2 linked regions of the Arabidopsis thaliana genome follow. The protein of the gene in region 1 interacts with the protein of each later gene in a pairwise test. Each region holds a gene or a part of one and is shown on either strand. Other genes may lie near its edges.

The links.
Region 2: the proteins of AT4G37850 (region 1) and NF-YC13 interact in a two-hybrid assay, tested with the Arabidopsis thaliana proteins (one large-scale study listed by BioGRID).

The regions. Positions count from the first base shown.
Region 1 is NC_003075.7:17,795,494-17,799,924, reverse strand, and holds AT4G37850 (basic helix-loop-helix (bHLH) DNA-binding superfamily protein), read left to right. Parts: upstream 1-2,023; 5' UTR 2,024-2,064; intron 2,065-2,220; exon of another isoform or gene 2,221-2,258; 5' UTR 2,259-2,277; coding exon 2,278-2,313; intron 2,314-2,420; coding exon 2,421-2,924; intron 2,925-3,022; coding exon 3,023-3,394; intron 3,395-3,488; coding exon 3,489-3,563; 3' UTR 3,564-3,853; downstream 3,854-4,431.
Region 2 is NC_003076.8:17,355,064-17,358,342, reverse strand, and holds NF-YC13 (nuclear factor Y, subunit C13), read left to right. Parts: upstream 1-1,636; 5' UTR 1,637-1,776; coding exon 1,777-2,169; 3' UTR 2,170-2,498; downstream 2,499-3,279. Other genes in the region: AT5G43260 (chaperone protein dnaJ-like protein), read left to right, coding at 357-650.

The sequences.
Region 1 (4,431 bases):
TTGACGCCAACTTATCAGATTTTTTTTTTTATGCAGAAGTAAAAAAAATACACTAAATTTTGTTTGCAAGAGCCAAGATGCTTATATTTCATGGGATGTACTGTCTTGGTGATGTGATATAGTAATATAGTGATATAGATCCAGAAAACTGTTAAATATTTAGATGCTTTGATACCATATCAGGAATCTTCAATCTTCTGTAACAAACTCTTGAGAGAGAGAGTGAAAGAGAAAGAAGAAAAAGATAGAAACAAAATAATCGTCTATTTGTAAATGTGTACAATGTACTGTATATATACTCTATCACATTTTATACTATAGAGTAAAATATACTCATGATAATATTATAGTTAATTTAGTATTTAGATCTTGAGAAATGAAATACTATATAAAAATATAAAATTCGAGGGATTTAGTATTAAATTTTTATGGAGATTTGTAAAACACTGAATTTGGTTTGCAGGCGCCAAGATGCTTCTGTCATGGGGCGTAGTAATGGAGGAAAAGAGGGAGAGATCTAGTTGTAAGTGAACTGGCTTTTATTTCTATTTTAGTACTTAGATTATAATATCCCAAGTATATTTTGTTTACCTAGCTTACCATTTCTATGAAGTTCAACAATTCCGACAAATACTTGACTTAAAATATCAACTTTACATAAAAGAGTTTCATGTTTGATTGATTATTTTTACCTAATCGATTATATATTAAGAGTAGCACGTTTGCACAAGACACAAGACACATGAGTTCCAGGAAAGTAAAAATTATCTTAGTGTCGATCACTTGTAGTATAATGTTTGAATATTCTGATTGAATAAAATATAAACTTTTGTGATTTTGTTTGTTCATAATCGAACGTCTTTGACAGTCATGGTGATTCACACATTTAATCAAACTGTGTATAAAAGATGAGAGCTTTTAGAAGAGAACGCCAATGGTTAAATTCAAATCATACTTTAATCTTTTTTTTATTGTTGAATTTACAATTTTCTTGAAAAAAAGAAAATTCGTGGAAATAATTAATGTCGTAACCAATACCATATAATATACCATAAAATCGTAGCGAGATCTTTGGTTGGTGTCACATTTTTAGTTTACAAGAGAAAAGTATAAAACTAATGGGAATATGTATTAGATTATATTCAATTGGACCCACAATTTGATTATGGAAAGTTTCCTGTCATCTTCTGTCTATTTTTGCTTATCATAAGTTCGCTTATCATAAGAAATTTATGAAAATTAATCATGAATGCTTTCCTTTTATTGGTTCTTCAACAACATACATATTCAGATAGTGAGTGAAGGACACTTTAGTATAAATTACTTGACTATATATATAAGTTTATTACTCAGTAATAATAGCAGAATTTGAATACAAGCTTTCTATATACAAATGTTTTTACAATTGGCCAACAACATTTTGATGCGCGTCATAAGGTTTAATATTTTTATATGATGTTAGAAAATATTTTTTTGAACAGTTTTGATTTTTAATTGGTTTCATATTCGCATACCACACCTGATACATAAATTCATGTCAAATTTGGATGCATTTTGAAAAATGTATTTATGGAGAAACTAATATTTTTTTAAAAATAAAACCAAGGGAAACAAGATGAGTAAACATATATCAAAACAAAATAAAAATTGAGGCGATTTTTTTTGTTTCTAAGAAGAAACCCTAAAAATACACTTAATAATATAAACTCAAAAACCTGATATATTCAATAGACGAATACCCTTTTTGTCTCCGGCCCGCAACATTTTTATATTCATTCAAATAGGACCTCAAAATACTGTATACGTCAATGAGTAACTTTGAACAACCTGTGAAATTTGACAAATATAAAACAATCTATAATATAATTAATTAGTTTTGACACCCAAATGCTGTGAGAAAAAAGGAATATTTTTAGTGTGAAAGTTGAGTAGTATTGCCTTTCACACGTGCAAATTACTTCATATGTGTGTCCATCTCTATATATACATGTACATATATGCATGTGCATTCCACTGTTTTCACACACAAATCTCTCTTCTCTCTCTCTCTTCTCCTAGAAGCTGGTGAGTTTTATTTCTTTGTGATTCAAAAAACATAAATCTCAACCCTTACTAAATGTTTCTTGATCTTGGGTTTTTACTATACGTCAAATCTTGTATTTGAAACCCAAGATGATCTGCTAATTTATCTTTTTTCTTGGTTAAATACAGTTTCTTGTTTATAAATCATACACTAATATTCTTTTTACCATTTTCAGATTTTCAGAGGCAACAGCAATGAGTATCTTATCCACAAGATGGTTTTCTGAGCAGGTATATATGCGCATAAACACATACACTCATGTATATATGTTGTCATCTGGGACTGTTTTTCATTGTTTTTTGTTCTTTTTTCTTTTGGGTGTGATGTTATATTTTAGGAAATAGAAGAAAATAGCATAATTCAACAGTTTCACATGAACTCAATAGTGGGAGAGGTCCAAGAAGCTCAATACATTTTTCCACACTCTTTCACGACCAACAATGATCCCTCTTATGATGATTTGATCGAAATGAAACCACCAAAGATCCTTGAGACAACTTACATATCACCTTCTTCTCATCTTCCTCCAAATTCAAAGCCCCATCATATTCACCGTCATTCTTCCTCAAGAATTCTCTCTTTCGAAGATTATGGTTCAAATGATATGGAACACGAGTACTCTCCCACCTACCTAAACTCAATCTTTAGCCCAAAATTAGAGGCTCAAGTGCAACCACACCAGAAGAGTGATGAGTTTAATCGAAAAGGGACCAAGAGGGCTCAACCGTTTTCAAGAAACCAATCCAATGCTCAGGATCACATAATAGCCGAAAGAAAACGTAGAGAGAAGCTTACTCAAAGATTCGTAGCTCTTTCCGCTCTAGTTCCTGGCCTTAAAAAGGTATACATACCATCAGATCTTCCTTCTTGATTACCTTTTTCAAAAAAATACATGTTTTTGAATCTATAGGTGTAATTTTTTTCTAATTGCGTGCATAGATGGACAAGGCTTCTGTGTTGGGAGATGCATTAAAGCATATAAAGTATCTCCAAGAAAGAGTGGGAGAGTTGGAGGAACAGAAGAAAGAAAGAAGATTGGAATCAATGGTTCTTGTGAAGAAGTCTAAGCTGATCTTGGACGATAATAATCAATCATTCTCTTCTTCTTGTGAAGATGGCTTCTCGGACTTGGATCTTCCCGAGATCGAGGTAAGATTCTCGGATGAAGATGTTCTAATCAAGATCCTTTGCGAGAAGCAAAAGGGTCATCTTGCCAAGATTATGGCCGAGATTGAGAAACTTCATATCTTGATAACTAATTCAAGTGTATTGAATTTTGGACCAACTCTTGATATCACCATTATAGCTAAGGTATGCAAATGTATATTCAGGCATACACTTATACATATAAATGAAGAACTTGTTCTTAATTTTAGAGTAACATCGCTTGATGTTTATTTTTCAGAAGGAGAGTGATTTCGACATGACACTCATGGATGTTGTAAAGAGCTTAAGGTCTGCTTTGTCGAATTTCATATGATTGTATTAACTTTCATGCTTCTCGTCAATTTCTACTGTGGGAGATCTTGTTGAACACATGGACGAAACATAAGTGGTTTGCCATGAAAATGTTTTTTTTTTTTTATAAGTTTGATTGGAGGTTTTCTTATCTGTTAATTATCTATAATTCTATATATAAATAAGATTAAATTAGTTGAAAATTCACTTCTCTTTTTTTCTCTATTTGGTTCTTTCCCCCTTTATGTATTATATTGCTGTTTCCAAAGATGTAAAGCACTTCCGTTTATGTATTTGTATTATATGGTTTATATTTTGTAAGTCTGTTCAATCTTATACCAAATCACTAAAGTTTGTAGTAATAATTTTTTGGGAGGAGTTAGAGCAAGTTATTGGTGCACAAAAATTTAGAGCAATTTATATTGAATTTGATTGATTACTGTCATTATGAGTAAGAGTAATTTGAATTCAAAGTAACATATGGTAAATTAGCACTGTCAAATACAACAAAGTACCCAGTCCAAGACATTCTAGATTCAGAAAATCATAATAAAAAAAAAAATTATCACTTGGATAATCAAGGCAAGGAATGCGGCATGACGACCAAGTCTTTCCTTCCGTGTTAGAGAACAACAAGGATAATCATAGGATACTAACAAAGTTGGACAAATCGTGGATTCGGAAAGTGGATAACTATCCTTCTCTTTCTTTCAGCTATAATAAAAATATTATATCCGCAATGCGAAAAATGAACAATTATGGTTTCACATTTCACAAAACAATAGATAATATGTGTACATATGCATATATACAAACACTATATCCAGGTGCAAAACGTCTGAATCGTGTATATATAATATATATATTACATATTATTGCAACGGAACTAG
Region 2 (3,279 bases), on another chromosome or scaffold:
TGTAGAAGATATTTTACACACACAGCCCAATAAAAACCCAAATCCAAAAACTGGAGTATCCAAAAAAAACACGGCTGTTTCATTCATCTCCTCACACAACAACTTAACCCTCACTAGCCCACGTGTTTACTTTCTCAACCATTCCCTTATCTCCCAAAATTGTATTTACTTCAAAAATAAACCGAACCGTATCAAATTAAAACAAGACCACACTTTTGTCTGAACACAAAAAAAAAAAAAACTTTTATTTTTTCCTCGAGACGTCTCTCTTCTTCAATTTCTTCACGATTCTACTTTTGCGTTATCCCCAAAATTGGCAACCAAAACCAAACCTCTCTCTCTTATTGAAACCAACAATGAGTCCGATCGTCATAACCCAGTTAGCTACAGGAATCAGCGTTTTAGCCGGTGCGGTCTTTATCAAATCAGTCATGGACCAAAAGCCTATGGCTGGTCAATTCCCTCGTTGTCCGACTTGTAACGGTACTGGACGAGTCACGTGTTTCTGTTCTCGATGGTCCGATGGTGACGTTGGATGTCGTAGGTGTTCTGGTTCAGGTCGTGCGGCTTGTAGCAATTGTGGTGGTTCTGGAACTGGTAGACCTTTACCGGCTCAGATTACGGTTCAGCCACCGAATCGTCCTTATTGATGATTCTCAAGAAATTTGTATACTTTGTAAACGATTCTTCTCTCTTGAACTCTCTCACTCTCTGTCTTGTAAGTTGATTATATATATATACACATAGATGAGAAACAGATTTGATAGCTTCTGTGATATTTTTTCTTGTGTTGGGTTGTTTTGTTACTGTTCATAGTCAAAATATTCGAATTTGTCATTATTGGTGGCTCAAATCTTTAGTATTAACTATTAAGAATTAAGATGATGGGTTTGATCCAATGATACGAAAAGTTAGCTTCTTCTTGTATATTGTTGTAAATGGACTTTGTTGGATGTGTTTGGTTCATGTCTAGTACTCAATATGTGACCATGAGATGTTTCAACAGCCTCTTGTTCCAATGGTATGAAATTGGTTCATGTCTACAACCTCAAAACGTTGTAGAGGAAGGAGTGTTGTGTGTGAATTTTGTGAAAAGCTGCGAATAGTAAAGAGGAAACGGATTAGTTATAACAAATTAAACAGCTACAATTGTAGTAGATGGTCTCTCAAGTCTCAAGATTAGAAACATCTCGGAGCCAAAAAAAGGCTTCCTACAGCCATATAGAAGTATAATCTCAAATCATTATCCACACTTGGAACTATCTCTAAAGCTCATTTGTTATTTGATGGCATTTCTAGTTCGATATGCCACTCCTTAAATCCGTTGCGTTCGTGAAGGATCAATGGGGTTCAATTCAGGTAGCTAGGAGATTTGTACCAACTTGTAGCTTTCTAGAATTCCTTGTACAATGTGATCCAAGTAAAAGAAAGAATCGGTTAAAATTTTCAATATAAAACTTTAAAATAGACTACTAGTACTAGTTTGAGCTAGACAGTGACTCATGTAGAAACAATCTCTACAACATAAAAATCTACGAACCATACCGGGTTACCAAACGTTCTTCTCAATCTCACCAATCGGTTTAAGCTGAAAACCCGAATTAGCAAAATCTTCGTTCGGGCTGTTTTGGTTAATCCGGTTTACATGTTTTCTCATTGCTCATTTTCATTTTCCCGCCGTGACAGAGCGCGTAAATCTCAAAACCCTAAAAATGTCGAACATATACAATTCATTACCTTAATCAGATTTTCTCAACAGAATCAAAATCAAAATCCATGGAGGAAGAAGAAGGATCAATCCGACCAGAGTTTCCAATCGGAAGAGTAAAGAAGATAATGAAACTGGACAAAGACATCAACAAAATCAACTCAGAAGCTCTTCACGTCATCACTTACTCCACCGAACTCTTCCTCCACTTCCTCGCCGAGAAATCTGCTGTTGTTACGGCGGAGAAGAAGCGTAAGACTGTTAATCTCGATCATTTAAGAATCGCCGTGAAAAGACACCAACCTACTAGTGATTTCCTCTTAGACTCGCTTCCGTTGCCGGCTCAGCCTGTCAAACATACCAAATCGGTTTCCGACAAGAAGATTCCGGCGCCGCCAATTGGGACTCGTCGTATCGATGATTTCTTCAGTAAAGGGAAAGCAAAGACTGATTCAGCCTAAAGTAAAATTTCTCATTTTGTTCACAATTGCAAATTTTACTCTGTTCTCAAATCAAAATCTTGTTTTGCTAAAAGTGTAGTGAGAATGTATGGATCATGAGGAACTTTTATAGGAATTGGTAATTTTAAAGATGTTGTGTCTATTAGCATTTCTACTAATTGGAGAAACTGATTCTTGTCCTGTGACTGTGAGATACATCTCATTGTGTTGCTTAGAAATCTCTGCATTGCTCTAACTTTGGTGTGTAGAGATTGAGAGAGAGAGAGAGAGAGGTTTGGGATGTGTATTGTTCTTCTAAGCTATTCTTATATGAATACTACTTTTGAGTGTTTATGTTCTTCTGAAAGAACATGGCTATAGAAGTTGTCGCCGTTACAATAGTATGTTATACTTTCTTTGATTGTGAGCTAATAAGCGCGGTTGTGACCGAGCAAAATGAAAGCTTTTGCGGAATGTATGTTTCAGTTTTCTTTAGTTTTTCATTCTGACAAGTTTTCTAGAGTAGAAGTGAACCAGTCTGATGGGTAAAGTCTGAAACTTTTAACAAGAAAGTGTGATATTTCTCAAGATCACTATCCATGGTTACATTTCTCAATAACTCCTCTCAAACTTCATCTTATATCATCTGCTTTGTAGTGTGGATTTGGTATATGTTCTTTATTTGCTTTTATGGTTTCAGACCAAGTCTAGTGGTATTCAATGATGACTTGAGTGTCCAAAAGCTCTTATTATGTTCTCGGAATTGTGAAAGAAAAAAGTGATTATGTTGACATATCAAATTGATTGAATCCAATGGAACATCCACTTTCTTTAATATTCCGTTTAGTTATTATGAGAACTTGAACCGTTATAATTAAACAACATAAACCAAGCAATTGTGTTCTTTTCGGAACTTGTGGTACATGAACCCGGCGAATTGGATTTACTTCGTTATTTGTTGCCTCTTCCATTCCCGAAACCTTTAATTAAGGCCTTTGACCATGTCTTCTCTAAACTGTTCCACTTCCTCCACTTAAGCTTTATATAAAACCTCAAGTCCTATGAAAAGAACACAATTGCTTGGTTTACTCTAACAAGGTAAAATCTTACGCAGCATATATAGATCATATT